4 linked regions of the Drosophila melanogaster genome follow. The protein of the gene in region 1 purifies or fractionates together with the protein of each later gene. This does not show direct contact. Each region holds a gene or a part of one and is shown in the gene's direction. Other genes may lie near its edges.

Region 1 (4,541 bases):
GACCGGAAAAGGCGAAGAACAGGCAAAAGCCCAAATGCAAAAACGGGTTTTACTTACTTAACCCAAGATTTTGCATAGTCTTCACAAGTCTTCCTACTAATTTTTATTTGCTATGCAAAAGCGGAATGAATAAGTATGAAATAGGTGAAATAACCATTCTACATTGTCAGCACGTTTTCCTGTTCATCGTATACATACGTACGTATTATGTATGTATGTATTTTTCTGTACTTTTTGTTCTCCCTGCCGTTCCATTCCAGCTCGTGCAGTTCGTTCTAAAAGCGTATTTACATACACACAACTATTGATAGACATACTGCATATACAATGTAGTTTTGTGCTAAACCCACAAATTCTAGACAAACAATGCGGTCTGAAAATTGCACGTTTGCATGTAAAATATATGGGGAGCAGCAGATGAAATTCATCACTGAATGCTCCTCCATCTCCTACCCCTGCAATCCACTCGTGCGTTTCATGGCGGGACACTTGGCGAATGTGGGTCAAAGTTGAACACAATCAGAGCTGAAAGCTTACATCAGTACTTTCGAACACGCCCACATTTCTGTGCACTCCAATGTGTATCCGAGTACTGAGTGCAAAAGCAAAACACTTGCCGCCCATTTCAGTAGTTAAAAAACAATGCACTTTGAAAAGCCTATAAAGAGGATCTTTTGTGCCATTTGCGTGTAGCATCAGATTCAGTCGTATAAATGATACCCTTGGGCGTATAATAATATTTAATATTCTGATACTTTTTGATATCATCTGCCGTTATCATAACGAAACGGTGTATACGATTTAAGTAAGCATATTAAACCGCTTTATTGCTTGGCATTTCATAAGATTGCACTTCTCTAAAAGATTGTGTAATATATATATATATATATGTATATATACATTGCGTGATATACATTTCCTGTTTTTGTCATATGAAGATTGCTCTGCGAAGGGTTTTTATCACTGGGCACTGGCGTAGAGAAAAAGGGTGCTGGAATAGCATATGTTATATGGTTATGGCTACCATGTGAGGATCGCCCGAAAGTCAGTCAGCTGGAAAGTGAGGTAAGCGCGCAAATGCACCACCTGCTGCGTCCGAAAGTGACAAAACGAAAACGAAACTCCTTCGGTTTTCTATTTTATTAATGGGTAAAGAAGAAGCTTCGTGCAGAGTTACACAGAGAGAAAAACTGCAAATGTATGACTCGTAAAAAAAGTGTATTTAGTGACCAATGGTGACCATTTGAAGCGGTATTTATGTAGGCAGCTGTTCTCTAATAATTCCAGTTATTCGTTAAATGCAATGACAGTGTTTTTCGTGTGCTGGCGATTATGCAGTCAAAACAGAAAATGGGTTTCCCATCCCATCCATAAATGTCACTGTACTCCCCGCTTATCGCTTGAGGCTTGAGTAAACAGTCGGAACAAACGTAGCATATCGGTTTATGCAATACTTTTTGAATTGTACAATAACTATTGTGCAGTCGCCAAGTTTCCCCTTTTGCCTTATACTTGCAGTCAGCCGGGCAAACATTTAATTAATTAACAAATGCGACCTTGACTGGAATTTCAATTAAGTAAGTAGCTTGAGCAAAACTTTGATGAGAATGGTGGAGTGATGTTACATATGTATGTATGTTTGCAAAAGCAAGCAGTTGTCAGGGTGATGTTGTGGTTAAATATCAATTGCGGGTAACTAACCTTTTGGTGATTTCCGATTCGTTCCGATCCGATTCGTTTCGATTCAAAAAAAAAAAACCGATCCGCAAAGTTGGTTTAGTGGTTTTTTTTTGTCTTTGCCTTTTTGGTTCGCAGAGGGTGGACCAAAACAGTTAAAAGTTAAAGAGAGTGACTAATGCCGCACGCACACAGTCGCACTCAATTTGTTGTCATACACACACAGAGAGACAAGCGCACACTCGCGGGCATCAACTTTGCACTCTTCTCACCCCCTCTCGCTCGTTCACTCGCATTCAAGGTGGTTAACGAGAGGTGAGCCAACAAAAACAACAACAGCAGCAGCCGCGGAGCGCACTCACACACACGCGCTAAATAGCTGAACAGCAGCTGCAAAAGTAGTAGCACGTATCCGCAGAGACAAAAACGAAGAAAGCAGGAGATGGAGAAGGAAGTGCGCCTGCAGCTGCGACAATTATCACCCGATTATTTCGCAGCGTGTATTGCGAAATGTGCGCCTTCGATTTGCTAAATACTTTTGCTTAATTATACGCACGCACACACACACCAAGGCACTTTCCCATAACGAATTTAATTCAATTCAACGACGTGCTGCACGAATCGCTTTCAGCTGTGCATTTAATAGCGATATTTGTCGGCCTTGATATGCGTCGATGTTTTTCAATGGTGTCGCAGAAGAGTTATGGAATAATTTAATTATTTTTCGTTTTTATTGCGCCGCGAACGCGTCCGTTATGTTGATTCTGCCAGAGTGACCGTGGCTTGCAGTCGAAATAATCCAGCGATTAAAAGTTTAATTTTCCCGCGGTTTTCAGCACTGTTTTCTATCGATTAATTTAAATGCTTAGATGTGTTTCCACTGGCATCATGGTTATAATAGGTTTTAACTTGTTTGGTTCCTTTTGAAAGTACTTAATCTAATTATACTCTCCTTGACTAATTGCTTTGGAAAATGTTGATAGCGAAACCTTTGTTTTTAATAAAAGACAACTGTTTCTTCTCTTGAAATCTCTAGTGTGAAGATGCTGAAATGACCCACGATGTAACCGTTTCTCCGGTTAAATTGCAACACAGTCTGACCAGATCAAGGTGCCCAAGAAAATACTTCCAAATTAAAAGCAAACTTTGCTTTCCGCATCCCTTAGAAAAATAGAATCCCGATATATATTATTTGGACTGCTCGAACGCCGCCGACGAGCCCAAAAACGCGCGCACATTTACAACGACAACAATACAAACTTGAGCTCAGTACGTAAACTTTTTTGACCAGCTGCCGTTAGAAGCAAATCAAAGCTGCGACGATGGATGACTCACGCGAAGAAAGCCAGTTCATTGTGGACGACGTGAGCAAGACGATTAAAGAGGCCATCGAGACGACCATCGGCGGTAACGCCTACCAGCACGACAAGGTGAACAACTGGACCGGCCAGGTGGTGGAGAACTGCCTGACGGTGCTCACCAAGGAGCAGAAGCCCTACAAGTACATTGTGACCGCCATGATCATGCAAAAGAACGGTGCTGGACTCCACACCGCCAGCTCCTGCTACTGGAACAACGACACCGACGGATCGTGCACAGTACGCTGGGAGAACAAGACCATGTACTGCATCGTTTCGGTCTTCGGACTGGCCGTCTAGAGTGGAGGAATGGCAGGACTGCCGGAATTCGCGATGAAGATGACTTAAAAGGGGGAGGGACTAACAAGATTGCCGTCGTACACCAGCACACACCAACAACACAAATACCATACTTTTTTGATCGGCCATCCATCCTGCTGTAATAACAAAATTTATTATGGAGCACTTGAAAACCTTGTCGTCACTTCCAAGCAATTAGCAAGCAACTATTCCGTTGCCAGTGTACTCGCCTAATGTTATTCTTGATTTTCAATCTAAAAACGTAAATAAAAAGTGTATAATACCGTAGCATAATAAGTTAATCATTGCAAACTGTTTTCAATGGGTCATCATTTTTTGGGTCGTGGGAATATTTTTCGTTTCCATGGCAGCAATTGGCCATTGGTCTAAAATCGATTTAAATTCCCAGGCATTTGTTAAAATTAAACTTTAATGGTCTTTCTCTTATTTCTTTATTTATTTTAGTTTATCAAAACCTTCTATCGTTTAGAATAATAATATTCCTTCTGGCATTGCCCAAAATAACAAAATCAGAAGTACCTGGATGCAATAAATGTAATTGGCGCGCCAGGGTTTGTTAAATCGATGGCGGGCGCGGTGTCCTTGAAGATACTCCTACTTCTTGCGCTGGAAGCGACGGCCCGACTTTAGAGCCGGAACCTTGCTGGGCAGGCGCAGGCTAAGGATGTCCGAATTGGATTTTGGCAGAGCGTTCACAATGTGGGCGTACTGCTTGATCCGAGCCTTGGTGGTGGCCAAAGCACGGGAGAGGACATTGATGTCCACTTCGAACTTCTCACTGAGGAGCAGGGCCATCACAATAAAGTGTGTCAGTGCCTTTTCACTGCTGAAATTGGTGCGAGTTCCCTTCTTTGCCACATTGGGATCCGCAAAACGATGGCGTATATCATTCTCGATCTTCTCCGTGATACCAGAGAGCTCAGCCTTTTGCATTTGACGCGAACGAAGGGAAATTAGCGACTGCAAGGCGTCCATGTAGATGATAAGTTTAATGTGCAAGAAGTCTCGCTTGGATGAAACGGGATTTTCCTGAATTTTGGCCAAACATGACTTGAGGTATTCCGATTTAATGCTGCAAGGAACAGAAATTTTAACATTTAAATGTTACTGCTTTTACCAAACTACATACGGTAGAGTCTGCACAGGCGTGGAGAACACCACTTTGGCCTCCTCCTCGAGACGTTC
Region 2 (5,251 bases), 2.5 Mb from region 1:
GACAAACTAGGCCAAACCTCCTTTAGCTGGGCATCTGATTTGATGCCTGCTGCGCAGAGGGGGAAGAATCCCCGATCCCGTATCATCACAAAATCGAAGGTGTGAGGATTACGTTGGTAGTATGCCTCCACGGCCATTATCCTTGTGGCCAGTTCGTTGCCCTCCTCGTATTTCTCGCGCAAGAAGTACAGTCGCCAGCCGGAATAAGCCCGTGGATTATCCACCGCAATGCTCTGCACCTGGAGCCCGTCTTCTGGTGCGGCATAGTTTTCCGGCCGCAGAAAGCTGCAGTCCAAGTGAGCATTGCGTCCTCGCTTGCCGGCTGTGCGGCTCCAGCCCCTGGGTTGCCGAGTTGCAGGCGGAACAGAAGGAGCGTCTGGTGCTCCAGGTTCCCCTTGGTTGGGTTGTCGATTGCCTCCGGCTGGGATCACACGTCCATTGCGCCGAAAGTAGAAGTACGGACGGTAGGCTCCGCCTCCGCGACCACGACCACGCACAAATCGCGATGGGGCGCCCCCCCGGGAAAGCGTTGGATTCATTTCAGCTGGGGAAAGTTTACAAATTTGCCCGCTTTTAAATAGAGATGATACCTATATTACAAATGACATGAAATATCGATAACGATCTTTGGCTAAGATATTGAACCCTTAACGATTTTATATTTAAACTTATAAATCGATGTAATAAAATTATTTTGGAATTATTTCGGCGGACACTTGTGATATCTTCGATTCTTGCTTCAGTATGCTCAGCTGGGCGGGAAGGTAGTGTTCAAATACACCCGATAGCTTCGACTTGACCTCACGAAATGTTTCCAACACTTTTATCTCCTCGTTCTCATCAGTGGGCTGCACGGCCTTTAGTTCATGTAGTAATTCGGTGCAGCCGTCGAGGAGCATCACCTGCTTCAGGTGAAGCTTAAGCAGCTCCTGCTGAATTGTCTTGATGCACTGGATTTGTTGGTCCATGCGCAGTGGAATCGTGGAAAGAGCCAACATTTGCTCCATATGCTTTTTATCCTTCACGAACATTTTAGCAGCACTTTCCATGGCTTCAGCAGGTTTTGCTTCAATCTCCTTGGGATCTTTGTGCTTTTTATCCTCCACGATCGTTTTATGAATAATTTCCATGTTTTCAGCAGGTTTTGCTTCAATCTCCTTGGGATCTTTAATGCACGGAGCTTCCGTCTCGGTTTTAGCTGGAATCTGTAAGGGAAATTAGGGCTTACTAACTAACTAGCCTTAGAAATTGACAGCTATCGCCTTTTTTTTTGGTTATCTACAGCTTTGTATTTATTTATTTTTTTTTTTACCATTTTGTTCTCTGCTGAAAAGTTTTAGAGACCGTATGCAACCAATGATAAAACTGAATAGCAGATCGAATACTAAGTCAAAGCCTCCTTTTAATAAGAAACTCATAGTTTTTTACAGAACATTCAGAGCGATCTAGGGTTCTGGTTTCTGGTCACCTTTTTTCGGGAAAAGTGAACTCAGATTGACGGGACAGTTGTCCAGGCGGGCCAGTTGCTTAACCATGTCATCCAGGAGCAGGCTGTTCCGCTCGTCGGAACCCTGGATGAGCCCGTAGGCCTCTGCGTTGGCGATTCGGTGCTGCAGAAGCGGCATGTAGGGTCCATTGAAATGCGGCTGTCCATTGGCCAATTCCGGCGGAGGCTTAGCAGTGGGAATAAAGTCCGTTTCCGACTTTGGGGACCGGCAAGTCGGCTGGTTTGGCCGAAACTTTGGAGTCCTATAGCCCAACTTTCGCTTCTTTTCCGCCTGCAAGTGATTTTCGCTCACGTCGTCGGACTCGTAATGATGGTTATAAAACCGGATGCCGTATATTGCGGGCTTTGGCTAAATTAGGTAGATTTATCTTTAGATAAATTAATATTTTGTGTTATAGATAGTGTTGATGGTTAGAAACTGAGACATATCTCCAAATCTCCAATACTCACAGCTCTCTTGCGCTCCTCATCGTAGCCATCGTCATCCGAATCATCATCCTGTTCATCATTGTCCATTTCAATGGGAATCCGGTCACTGGTCACCGGCACCTGGGGCACGAATTCTGAGGCACTTGCTCGGAGTCCATTAGGGGAGACCGCGGTCGGCGGAGAAGCAGAAGCCGAAGTCGGAGGAGTAACGGCTGGAGTCACCTCATTGCTCATGGACTCTAGTTCCAGACATAAACGTTTGTAGGCCATCGTGGTTCTTTCCAAGTGGTTGAGATCCAATTTGCCAGCGATATGGGCAACGTTCTGGAGGAATTTTTTACTTTCATCCATAAAGAGCGAAGTCACAATCAAATTCCTTTGTGGATGGCGCAAACATTAAAAATTTTAAACATTTAACACAAACTTGATTTGTTTAGCATTCGATGTTTCGATTCGATTTCTGACAGAAAATCTGGAACTGTCAAACATATTTAAATTGGTTGATGTACAACAATTTATAAAAAAATATTAATAACGAACTAAAAAACTTGTAGTATTTAATGGAATTGTCCACAATTTTAAAAATTTAGCTCAGTGTGACCATTTCGGTCGCGACTTATCGGTCTTGTCGATAAATTAGAGCTGCAAAATTTGTAAACAGTGGACGCCTATAATTAAAAACAATATTTAACATCGAAAAAATAACGTTTTCAACGTTAATTTAAATAATTAATTTAAAATACAATTCAACATGCCGGTTAGTGGATACTTGCGCATCAAAGGCAAACGAGTTGGCGTTGAGATATTCCCAGTTCTTTTCACCTGCTTTCGTGACCCCCTGCCAAGCATAAAAATTTCCAAGGGAAAAGGCAATCTTGTAAATTAACTATGCTTTCAGGCCTACCACTCGCAGATCAAGGAAGTGCGCCAGCAGGTGGGCAACATGGCCATCCTGCCGCTGAGGACGCAGGTGCGCGGGCCAGCGCCCAGTGCGAATATTGAGAGCGACATCATTGATGAGTCACTGTACTACTTCAAAGCCAATGTCTTCTTTCGCACGTACGAAATCAAGGTGAGGCCGTAATCCGGGATTCAGAACCATTACCTGGTCACGTGATGGTCATATTGAATCCTTATGCTACTTGCTACTTGAATTCACAAACTATGTTTTACCATTTTCAGTCCGACGTGGATCGCGTGCTCATCTATGTGACGCTCTACATAACAGAGTGCCTCAAGAAGCTCAATCGCTCCACGAGCAAGGCCCAGGGACAGCAGGACATGTACAGCCTGGCCATCTCCAAGTTCGACATTCCCGGCGATGCTGGCTTCCCATTGAACGCCGTCTATGCCAAGCCGCAAACGGCCCAGGATGCGGATCTGATGCGCCAGTACCTGCTGCAGCTGCGCCACGAAACCGGCAACCGGGTACTGGAGAAGGTCTTCAACACCGAGGATGGCAAGCCCAATAAATGGTGGACCTGCTTCGCGAAGAAAAAGTTCATGGAGAAGAGTCTGGCTGGACCTGGACAATAAACAGCTATCCACAATATCTGGTATCTTGTTTTGCTTCTACGACGGGTAAAAATACCCTTCAATTAAGTTTTACTCGCAGCGTGGTCCTAATTTGCAGTATCACTGCCAACGTGTCACAATTAATTAAATTCATTAACCACTAAATAAATTATTTGAATTTGTAAGCCTTTCTGTTTTAATTAATTTATGTAAATTCTTTTTACAAAATTAACGTGGATAAAACTGCAAGTAACTTTCATAAATAATATCTGTTTCTAATAACTGACCAGCAAATGGAAGTTATTGCCTATAATTTGTGTAATCAAAATCGGAATAGTAAAGTATTAACTAAGTTTCATTTATTTGTAGTCGCTCCGTCATTGGAAAAAATGCTTTCTATTGGCCTGTTAATTAAATAAACTTTGTCATCTGTCGAATACAACGTGGAACTCTTTGAATATAAATAATTTATATTTATTAGGCCAGTTGAGTAATTAAAAAAAATACAACTGACTTTCGCTTAAGACGAAGCCACAGCAACGATCTTTAATTGGAAAATCGTTCTAAACAAGGAATTCTAGGGGTACAAGCAACTTTAACGATAGAGATGGTCGGCCTGCAAGTTAGAGGCAATCTCGGACTCCCACTTGTCGCCGTTGCAGAGAAGCTTCTCCTTGTTGTACAGCAGCTCCTCGTGCGTCTCCGTGGAGAACTCGAAGTTGGGTCCCTCGACGATGGCGTCCACGGGACAGGCTTCCTACGCGGGGGGACAAAAAGATGCAATTAGTTTCTAGTAAATTGTGGCGCCACTTTGCTCCTCCTCACCTGACAGAATCCGCAGTAGATGCACTTGGTCATGTCGATATCGTAGCGTGTGGTACGTCTGCTGCCATCCGCGCGCTCCTCCGCTTCGATGGTGATCGCCTGTGCGGGGCAAATAGCCTCGCATAGCTTGCAAGCGATGCAGCGCTCCTCTCCACTGGGATAACGACGAAGGGCATGTTCTCCGCGGAATCGCGGGCTCAGTGGTCCCTTTTCAAAGGGATAGTTGATAGTGGCCGGTTCCTTGAAGATGTGCGCCAGGGTGACGGCAAATCCACGTAAGAGTTCACCGAAGAACATGGTGGATGCAGCACGGTCCGTGATGTCGGCAAACTCCATGCTCAGTTCCTTGTTGTTTACATACACATAGCCCTTGGGAACCTCGACGATATCTTTGGGTTCTGCTCGCTGGGCGGCCAGCAGCCGGGCTCCATGGCTGCCAAACAGGCGCTGTCCTGTGGGGAGAACATTTTACCATTAAATAACATGCTTAAGTCGAAAAGTTATACTGAATTAAGCGAGTTTAGACTTTTGTTTTGGTATGACATAAGCTTACATAACCTCACTCGCCGCGATTTCCACGAAAATGGGAAATTTCCCGGAAAACAACGGATGTGAGGGGATGGGTCGCCACCTACCGTTGCGCGATGCGGTGAAAATTCGCATAGTTAGCGACATTTTTGCGACCAAATTAAACTAAAATTGCCAAAGAAGTTGTTTTGCTATTGAATTTGCCCGAACAAATTAGAGCTGGGTTTCTTTCGATTACCCACATAAATTCAATGCTCAAATATCGTATTCAAATATATCGTAGTTTCTTAATGACATAAACCAAAAATAAAATATGAGATATAAAATATAAATAATGTAACAAAGAATTAAATATTCGTGTAAAAATAATAAATAATATTAACAAATAATCCAGAAAGACTGTGAGAAAAAAAAGAAAACATTTTTTTTATACGAATACCCCTAATA
Region 3 (5,168 bases), on another chromosome or scaffold:
ATCCGTTGGTCGGAGCATCATCATCAACACCGGCAGCCTTCGTTTTGGGAGTCGGCTTGGCCTTGGACTGTCCCTCCACCTTAGGTGTGGGCTTGGGCTGCTCGTCTGTCTTCGGCTTCGACTGCTCCTCCTTCGTCTTGGAGTGGTCCAATTTCTTGCGCTTCGCAGGCTCTTCTTTTTCTGCCTTCAAGGTCGGTTGATCCTCTATCTTGGGCTTGGACTGGTCATTCTTCGGCTTAAGCTGGCTTTTCTTCTTCACCTTCGTCTGGTCATCTTTGTTCTGCTGTGGCGGTTCTTCCTTTTTTGCTTTCTTCGACTTGGGCTCGGCCTCCTTGACCTCCTCTACTACCCATGCGTTGTTTATGCTAGAACGCACCTTTGCATTGTAATTCACCTTCTTCTGCAGCTCAGGAGGCAGAGCCTTGCTAATAACCTCATCGTAGTTGTGCTCGTCCACCTCCTCAAAGTTAATGGACTGCAGTAGGCGTTTGCGTTTGGATTTGTTGAGCTTCTTCAGTTTTCTTCCGGTTGCAAAGACCTCGTCCTCCATCTTATCTAAGGCAGCCACTTTTTGCTCCACCATTTCGGACAGAGTTTGTCCCTCCACCTTTGGCATTGTCCTCACGCCAAGTGGAAACTCTCCTCTCTGGTAAGTCTCAAAGATCTGGATAAGTTTGCGCAATCCCTTGCGTCTCTTGCTGTTAAAATCGTTGGTGCGTAGCTGCGTCTGCAGCTCATCTAGTACGCAATCAGCGTTGAGCGGCAGCTCCGGCATGTGAACGTCCACGTTGCCCGCTCGGGGATCCAAGGATGTGGCCCGCGGCTGCTCCTCCTCGGCGTTGACCTCGTCATCCTCCTCGTCAAATCCAGAATCTAGTTTCTCAATGTCATCAATGGAGGCGGTGGGGAAACCCATCTGCTTCCAGGCATTGTACTTTTCGCTGTACTGTCGTCCTAAGTCGCTCTGGTACATCAGATGATAGAGTACCCTTGTGCGGCACTGTGCCACTAGCTTAGCATCGCGTTGTGTAGCAATGTAGGTGACAAACGGACGCAAGAACATATTAACCTGAGCAGCAGTGATCTCACCATTGGCCGCCTTGGCCAGCTCCTCAAAGAAAACATCTAGGTAGTGCATGGTCATGCCGCGAGACTTAGGCTGCTCCGACATCACAGAAAGCTGCATGCTGCTGTTGAATGCGGCTATCAGGTCCGCATTCCAGTTGTTCTGTTTGAGGAATCTCAGTAGATAACGCACCATGCGGCGGGTGAGCATCAGGAATTTGTCCATGCGCCACTGATCTATGCCAAAGTACTCCTGGCACATTGTGCGCATAAACGCACTAAAGTAGGCCAGACTGCAGGCCGTATTACCGCCGAAGCTGTCCACCATTTGAGCCAACTTCTCGGCCAGCTCCTCCTGCACCAGCGGCTTATCCGACATCCACATGGTGTAGTACAATCCCTTCCAGATGCGCATGAAGTCGTCCTCGTTGAAGGGAAAGGAGCTACCGGCACGCGCCTTGAACCACTTGCGCAAAATGCGGATCTGGCGATTACGCTCCACCACATCGTTGCAGGCAAGAGCACGTATAATTTTCACCTCCTGGGCGACCACCATCAGCTCCTTGGCCACCTTCGGCTGTGAAGCGTCCTCCTCCTGCTCGACCTGGATTTCGGCCGCCTCGGCGTTGCGCTTAACTGGCTTCTTGCGCGTCACCATTATCCGGCTAATTCAACTTTTAGTTGCGAAAAATAAGTGAGCTGTGTATATTGAATACGGTACGGCACGACCGCACGTGTTGCCGTTCGATGTTGCCAGATGTTGAAACGACATTTTCTCCAAATTTCGTCCAACAGCTCTAAATGCATGAGCTGTACTGAAAATGACAACAAAAACTCAAGCTAATGAAATAATTTTCAAAGAATAAAATAAAGAAAAAAAGAATAATAAAAAGAATATTTAAATTGCTAGTTTTGATACTTCATGAAACGCTTGCTTTATACATTTTAATACAATTTTATATATTTTTAGCCATTTATAGGTTGTTATTTTATAGCTACCAGCGCTGACTTCTTTACGGAAAGTGGCAACTCTCTTCCACAGCTGATAATTCGGTCTGCTTTTTGTAAATTTTGCTTGTCCAGCAAATTTAGTTAAATAATTCAAAGAAATCATGCCCGTGGTGAACGTGTCGGCTGCCGAGGAGTACCAGAAGTACATTAATGCGGATAAGACGACCGTAGCTCTATTCGCCGCCGAATGGGCAGAGCAATGCGGTCAGGTGAAAGACGCGCTGGAGGAGCTGGCCAAGATTACTGGCGAAAAACTGCAGTTCATCAGCCTAAACGCTGAACAATTTCCCGAGATTTCCATGAAACATCAGGTACGCTCGTATTTATTTTATGAAAATATAACAGTAGTTCCTCATTCATTTGCGATGCCACCAGATCGAGGCCGTGCCCACAGTCATATTCTTCGCCAAGGGCTCCGCCGTTGACCGTGTCGATGGTGTAGACATCGCCGCCATAAGCGCCAAATCCAAAAAGTTGGCCGAAAACGCAAGCAGCGCGGCGGCAACAGGACAAACGTTGGAGGAACGCCTAAAGGCCCTAATCAATACAGCTCCGCTGATGATATTCATGAAGGGCGACCGAAATGGACCGCGTTGCGGATTCTCCAAGCAGCTCATCGGCATTGTGAACGAAACCAAGTATGCAAATTGATCATCAGTTGTATTTGATTTCAAGTTATAAACGAAAATATCCTTCGATAGCTTGCCGTACGAGACATTTGACATCCTCGGCGACGAAGAAGTGCGTCAAGGCCTGAAAACCTACTCCGACTGGCCCACATATCCCCAGGTTTACGTCAAGGGTGAACTTATCGGCGGACTCGATATTATTAAGGAACTGCTGGCGAACAATGAGCTCGAGTCCACGCTAAAGGGCTAATTCCATCGGATTGCATCTACTCCTACAGACACCATAAACCAGAAACAAATTTTTAGCTAGATCCTTAGACTTTTTAATGGTTTAATAAAGGATTTTTGCTACATTCTGGTATTATTTTATTCATCGAAATTTTTAATAACAATTGTATTAAAGCAAATGTGCTATAGGTCATCCATAAGACATCTTACACGGGCTTCAATGGTGTCACCATAAATGTTTACAAACTTAACGACATAAATATAGCTAGAAATTTGTAAGAACTTTTTTATACACCAGCCCTGGTTTATCTGGTATTTTGCGTACCTTCATTTTGTAAACAGCTGTTTCGGCGTCGGCATCTTGCACATTATTTTCGCAATATTATTTATATTATTGAAAATACCCATTAACTATAAACTTATATCCAAATCTTTAAATGGCTGAGGGTAATACCGCTGGCGGAGAGGACCAAAAGCTGACGGACATCTTTCTAAAGGGCTGGAACATATTCGACGAGCTAGAAGTTACCGAACTGCCCTTCAATGGCAGCGAATTTCAGGTGTGTAATATTGAAGATCTTCATATATATGTAATAAAAACCAGCATTGAACGTTTACCACAACGTTTAGAACAAAGTGAAGACTGCAATGGGCCTTTTCGAGCAGGCCACCGTCATTGTGAACCAGGTTAGCATGTTCAGTGCCAACGAGTTGATCGACGAGGTGTCCACGGAATCGCTACCATTCATGCTGCTCCCTTACTTTCTGGGCAAGCTTACCACTAAGATCAACAGCCCCAATAACACACACTCCATAGAGCTGGGCGAGATTTACTTCAAGGACCACCTGCAGCGTTGCCAGGAGTATGATCTCTGTGCAGCGCCCAAATCTCAGGTGGCTAAGGCGGATAGCCAAGCGGAAAAAAGCGAGCAGCGCGAGCTGGTAGAGGCAGCCTTCAATAGAAACGACAAAATAGCCCAGTATCGCCGGATGAAGGAGATTGACGAGTATATGGCCAGAATGCGCGATGCAGTCAAGAACAAAACGGTCGACGATGAGGATAAACGTGTCTTTTTCCTCAAGTATTTGGACAAGAGTATAATAGACTCCAAGCAGGAATTAGAAACATTGGGCGTAATGAAGCAGCTGGCCCAGATGCGCCTTGCCCGATTGGCTGGTGGCGAATCCGACAACGAAGTGGATTCGTTCCGTCCACCGAATCAAAATCAATCTTCTGCATCGTCCACCTCCCGCGGTCATGGTCACAGCCACGGACCCGGACACCACCACCATCATCAGCAGGCCGCTAAGCCAAAGCCCTTGCAGCCCTTCATCATAACACGTAATGCCACCCAGAAGGCGGTTTTCGGCTTGGGATACCCCAGTTTGCCCATTATGACTGTTGATGAATTCTACCAGCAGCGCGTCGACGAGGGCATCTTTCCTGATGAGGAGAAGGTTGCCAAGATGAATCAGGCACAGGCCATCGCGGCCGCCCGGGATCCCAACGAAAAAGAGGACGAGGAGAAGGCCGTTGAGGAGCTACAGGCGGAGCAGGATGATCCCGAGTATATAGACCGCATGAGGCGCATGGATGAATACAAGGATGTGGTGCGTCGCGGTGACGGCAACCGTCATAACCGTAGTTAAGGAACTCAAAATTTATGTATTTTTTTAAAACCCAATAAAATGGTATAACCGCAAGACTGGTTTTAAGTCAGTATATTCAAAAAATAATTCTAGTTTCTAAATTTATTTATAAATCCTAGGGATGCGCTATTGATAAAATAAAAATTGTTTTCTTTTTTATTGAATTGACAATATATACAGTAAATAAATAGTTAGAATAGTTCCACTGTTGCAGTATTGGTAGGCGTTTGGCTGTAATCGCGCATTTTGCAGCACTGATTGTCACCACCAGTAACAAAAACAAAAATCTCAAGCACAAGTTAAATTTTTGTGAGTTGCTACACAAAAAACGTAAAAGAGAAGACAGTTCTCTCGAAATATTGATAGATCAACAAAGATTAAAGTGAGGTGTGTTAAAATACAGCAGATACGTGGTAGTATCAAGTGTTAACACTTTTCGTACTCTGCAGCAACCCAAAAGCAGAATGTCAGTACGAGACTTTATCAAGGGTCTGCCCATACACGATTCGAGCAATTTTACCCATTTGAGCAACGAACATGGAATTCGAACGTCGCAGAAGCGTGCCTCCGTCTACCTGCCCACCG
Region 4 (4,925 bases), on another chromosome or scaffold:
TATACTTAAGCTACTTACCCATCAGATTAAAAACAAGAGAGAATGCTATAGTCGAGTTCCCTCGCACAGCTGGAAGTGTGAACGAGAAATTTCAATATTTTTTGGAATATTGGTAGAAATTGGAAACAAAATAATAAAATAAAAATTTAAATGTTGCTGAGAATGTGGGCGTGACAGGTTTACGCGGCTTGTGGGCGTAAAGTATTTTGGCATATAAATTTACAAAACTAACATAAAAATCAAAAAATAGTAAAACATTTTTCAAAAGTTTGGGCATGACAATTTCGGGCTGTTTATGGGCGTTAGATTGGAAATCGGTTCTACAAAATTGCGCTACGTCTATGTCTCTAGAACCACTGTTCTTAATCTCAACCTTCTAGCTTTTATAGTTCCTGGGATCTCGACGTTCATACTAGATCGACTGATCCTGATCAAGAATATATATATATGTAGTTGGTCGGAAACGCTTCCTTCTGCTTATTACTTACTTTTCAACGAATCTAGTATACGAATATCGGGTATAAAATTTATTTTAAATATCTTTGTTAAATTTTATGAGCTGTTGATAACGAAATCGAAAAGTTTGTACTTTTTTTTAAATCAAGTGCATTAAAATTAAATTTGTGGCTTAAAATGTATTGTAATAGCTTATAACTTATTATGCTGTAGCATACGAAAAATGGTTCTTAAAATCCTAACTTGCATGAGTTGAATATTTCGAAATTTCAAATGTTCCCGGCTACTTAGTTGTAAAGTGTGGCCGTTTCTCCTACATCGAAATCGATAGGTTCGAAATGTAAACAAACATGGAAACTGAAACTGAAGCGCAGAAATTGTATTAGCTATGGCCAAAAATGTAAAGAAATTAACGTTGGCCAACAAGTTGGCAAAACGCGGAGATCTTATAAAACCCACGGAAATAAAAAGTCGTCCAAATAGGGCGGATAACGTGAGGGTAGGCGGAAATGCATGATAAACAATGAAATTGATACTCAAGACGCAGTTTCTAAATCTTCCAGGATATAGAGGATCTGGTTGGTGTATCTGCTGGCGCAGCAGGATCGAGTAGCTCAGTGTTCTTCTCCCCCGTGCAAACCCGCAAGCAGCGTCTCTTAAATGGGGAAGCCGTGAAGAAAACTAACATTAAAATGGAGCCCTTGTCTCCAGCTCGAGTGGCACCCAAAAAGTTTAGAAAGGATGATCGCATGGTAACCAGAGTTCAAATGGGTTCGGCTACTGTGGTCATATGCAAGGTGGTCCCTGATGCTGTGGACTCCCCAGTGAGAGTGGATAAGATAAGAGAGGAGGTGGAACCCCAAATAAAACAGGAAGCTCCGGAGGATTCCCCTTCTTTTTCTGAGGTGCAAGCACCACATCCTTTGTGGTTTAACCACCTAGAAAACATTCGCATTATGAGAAACTCCAGAACTGCGCCAGTGGACACCATGGGATGCCACCGATGCGCCGATTTAAAAGCAGACTCGAAGGTATTTCCAATAAGTGGAATTAAGTACATAGAAGAATATGTTACAAGCAAACAACTTCCTTGCAGACCCAGCGCTTCCAAAACTTAGTGGCATTGATGCTGTCCAGTCAAACCAAAGACCAAACTACTTATGAAGCCATGAATCGCCTTAAAGACCGAGGTCTAACTCCACTGAAAGTAAAGGAAATGCCAGTGACTGAACTCGAGAATTTACTGCATCCCGTATCCTTCTACAAGGTTTGGTGGAATTAATAATAAATAAATATATCGCACTTACTCTCGATCTCTTCCAGAACAAAGCTAAATACCTCAAGCAAACCGTGGAGATACTGACGGACAAGTATGGTTCGGACATTCCAGATAATGTCAAGGACCTTGTAGCTCTTCCAGGAGTTGGCCCCAAGATGGCCCATATATGCATGGCAGTGGCCTGGAACAAGATAACCGGAATCGGAGTGGACGTCCACGTCCACCGCCTTTCTAACAGGCTGGGCTGGGTGCCGAAGCCCACCAAGGAGCCCGAGCAAACCCGTGTGGCGTTGGAGAAGTGGCTGCCATTCAGCCTCTGGTCAGAGGTCAATCATTTGTTCGTGGGATTCGGACAAACCATTTGCACCCCAGTGAAGCCAAATTGTGGGGAGTGCCTGAACAAGGACATTTGTCCTTCAGCCCATGCTGAAACTAAAGAAAAAAGGAAGAAAGACCGATAGGAAAGAGGTTCAGCGAACGCTGAAAAAGGTTTTAGGTTTCTAAGTGTTTCTGAAATTATTAGTGCTAAGAAAAATATTGTGTTACCCATAAGAAAATAAATGAATTATTAAGGGGGCTGTAAGTCCTGTAAAAAATAAAAAATTTTGTGGTTTTTCTTTTTTTGTTTTAACTGAAAAAGGTATATTCCCAATTTATTACAATAATTCAGTTTTTCAGGAAAAATATTGAAATATTGACACTACAATATTTCGTATTTCTTATATACTAAATAGATGTTATTCCTACGTGTTCGACCTACGGCCACACTATCAGCTCTACGTTCGCGCGTTTTATTGTTTACCAGCGGCCCTTGTGAAATTATATAGAATACTCAATTACAAATCCCTCAAAAGCCAAGAAAATGAATGATTCATGTAAGTATAGCCCGTAGCTCAGAGAAATTAAGGGAACTAATAACGAAGCTCGTTTTAGTTGGAGATTTCAATGCCACACAAACTGCGCCAACTGGAGCCGCCAGCAATCAAAAGGGAGAAGTAAGTGAGTGAGACGCCAGTAAAGTTGCACAACCTAACATGATTCCGTATGATTGCAACTAGGGAATAGTGCCCCTGGTGGTGAAGCAGATTGTGGACGCCCCAGAGGGAAACATCGAGTTGTTCGGCATGCAGTACGCCATGGCATGTGTTGTGGCCATAGTGCGGAACGTGGAGACTTCCTCGACGAAGATCACCTACACCCTGGAGGATCATAGCGGCAGGATCGATGCGCACTACTGGCTTGAGGAGGGCGACGCTCTCAAGGCACCCGAAGTAATGGTCAACAACTACGTGAAGGTCTACGGCACCACCCGGTCGCAAGGCGGTTCCAAAACCCTAATGATCTTCAAGCTACTGCCCGTTTTGGATCCCAACGAGGTGTGCACCCACCTGCTGGAAGTACTCAATGCCCGCTACAGGGCCGAGGACTACCAGAGCAAGGGTGGAGCTGGAGCTGGTGCAGGGGCTTCTTCCGGCTCAGGCTCCATAGCTGATTTCACCGCCTCCCAGAGCTCGGCCATTGTCAGTGGGCTGGAGCCCAAGCAGCAGGCCGTATTCCAGGCCATCAAGAGCAATGTTTCCGAGGAGGGCATCTCCCGCAAGGAACTGAAAGCCAAATTCTCCCACATCAGCGACTCTGAGTTGACGTAAGTTGTTTATCCAAAACTATTGCATCATTTGATATTCTTTATTAATTAATATTAATTATAACATTTTATTGTTCCTATTTTTACAGCAACATTCTGGACTTTATGATTTCCGAGGGACACATTTATTCCAGCATTGACGCAGATCACTTTATTTGCACAATGTAAATCAAATCGTGTAACCACTATTTAATTTAAAAATGCGTATTGAATATATGTATTAAGTTTTTGAAAAACGGGAACATTTTCCATATATTAGTTGTACATTAAATATTTCTTATATAATCAGAAAGTGATTTTGGGATATTTTTTATTGGGACTGTTGAAAATGTGTATTTGAGGAAATCTTGCTCTTCAAGTTGCCGGTGTATGTGTATATTTACGGCTTATCATATGAAAAGTCTTCGGATTCATAGTCCTAAGGGAATTTAAAATATCTTACAAAAAAGATAGAAAACCTGAAATATTTTAATTATTTTATGTTTAATTAATATTCTTGTTCATTTATAAAATTGTAATGGATTATAAAGTTTTTTTGAATCGTTTCACTTTGCTTCATTTGATAAAAGGATGTGATAAGTTCATACCGCTTTATTTCATTATCAATTTATTTTTTAGATATATAACTAACTAACTTTTAACGCTAGTAAGTTAATTGTTTAATTAGGTAATGCATATTTTGATTGTATATCGGGCATAGTTAGATCGGATTGCAAAAAATTTATAAAATTCATTCAATGCGTTTTATTTCATTAGTTTTTGAATTTATCATAGAAAATTACAAGCTCAGGAATCAAAATCAAAACATAATAGGCATGCAAATCAAAAATTAAGATTAATATTTGTTGTGGGAATTTATAGCGCAAGAGAGCATTCCCCTTGGTCCCCAGGATCTTGCCAGTGAAGTTGAACTGCGCAAGTGTAAGGATTCATTTTGCGGTCGGAGTGGATAGCTAATTGTATAAAAAACCACCTTGGGATACTGATTAACGGGCACGAAGACCTTTTGGGTAATCTTTATCGGCTTCTGCTTGTACACGTCTGCGTATAACTCCTTGCCGGGAATACGTCCAGTGCCATAGACACGGTCCACAGCTGCAATGTGGGATTAATACCATTAAAATACCCTGTAAAGGGCCGAATTGATTTTACCCTCGGCAATTAGCAGTGCGCAAAGTGGAAACTCCGCGGACAATCACTGGCTCTCCTCGACCAAATCGGCGAGAAACTTTTGGGTCACCTCGTTCAGACGCGGCTGGTGGTCGTGGGAAGGTGGCTGTTTCAAAGGTAACGCGCTTGCTGTTCCCATTTTTATCGTAACAATATTTACCGAAAAATCACAATTGAAATTGATGTAGACTGAATAAAGAATTATATATCAGTGACTTAAAAAGGGAGACCTGCCAAAAGTTTGAAGTTTTGAGGCTGCCAACTTTTTCAGTGCTATAGTGATTGAACAACGGTCCAGTCGCCAATCCTTAGTTAAAAATATAAAAAATAGAACCCCGTGGAAAGATAACCATATCCGTAGTTGTTCCCCAAAAG

The links.
Region 2: the proteins of Dlc90F (region 1) and Arpc3A purify together in Drosophila melanogaster (affinity purification with mass spectrometry, with the first as the bait; one large-scale study listed by BioGRID). This does not show direct contact.
Region 3: the proteins of Dlc90F (region 1) and Tap42 purify together in Drosophila melanogaster (affinity purification with mass spectrometry, with the first as the bait; one large-scale study listed by BioGRID). This does not show direct contact.
Region 4: the proteins of Dlc90F (region 1) and RPA2 purify together in Drosophila melanogaster (affinity purification with mass spectrometry, with the first as the bait; one large-scale study listed by BioGRID). This does not show direct contact.

The regions. Positions count from the first base shown.
Region 1 is NT_033777.3:18,296,423-18,300,963, forward strand, and holds Dlc90F (dynein light chain 90F), read left to right. Parts: upstream 1-2,806; 5' UTR 2,807-2,999; coding exon 3,000-3,335; 3' UTR 3,336-3,622; downstream 3,623-4,541. Other genes in the region: Polr1E (RNA polymerase I subunit E), read right to left, coding at 3,951-4,428, 4,486-4,541. UniProt on the Drosophila melanogaster protein: Acts as one of several non-catalytic accessory components of the cytoplasmic dynein complex that are thought to be involved in linking dynein to cargos and to adapter proteins that regulate dynein function.
Region 2 is NT_033777.3:15,832,079-15,837,329, forward strand, and holds Arpc3A (Actin-related protein 2/3 complex, subunit 3A), read left to right. Parts: upstream 1-2,569; 5' UTR 2,570-2,687; coding exon 2,688-2,693; intron 2,694-2,834; coding exon 2,835-3,008; intron 3,009-3,118; coding exon 3,119-3,472; 3' UTR 3,473-3,943; downstream 3,944-5,251. Other genes in the region: rec (recombination-defective), read right to left, coding at 1-539; CG43318 (uncharacterized protein), read right to left, coding at 690-1,205, 1,313-1,315; CG43317 (uncharacterized protein), read right to left, coding at 1,446-1,856, 1,958-2,287; ND-23 (NADH dehydrogenase (ubiquinone) 23 kDa subunit), read right to left, coding at 4,047-4,208, 4,277-4,728, 4,912-4,951.
Region 3 is NT_033779.5:13,364,354-13,369,521, forward strand, and holds Tap42 (Two A-associated protein of 42kDa), read left to right. Parts: upstream 1-3,263; 5' UTR 3,264-3,370; coding exon 3,371-3,493; intron 3,494-3,563; coding exon 3,564-4,583; 3' UTR 4,584-4,668; downstream 4,669-5,168. Other genes in the region: Nnp-1, read right to left, coding at 1-1,723; Grx3 (glutaredoxin 3), read left to right, coding at 2,178-2,387, 2,452-2,714, 2,778-2,955; CG31855 (uncharacterized protein), read left to right, coding at 5,048-5,168.
Region 4 is NT_033779.5:20,923,719-20,928,643, reverse strand, and holds RPA2 (replication protein A2), read left to right. Parts: upstream 1-2,496; 5' UTR 2,497-2,597; coding exon 2,598-2,610; intron 2,611-2,668; coding exon 2,669-2,730; intron 2,731-2,793; coding exon 2,794-3,380; intron 3,381-3,469; coding exon 3,470-3,548; 3' UTR 3,549-3,669; downstream 3,670-4,925. Other genes in the region: Nthl1 (Nth-like DNA glycosylase 1), read left to right, coding at 845-955, 1,020-1,487, 1,553-1,723, 1,780-2,196.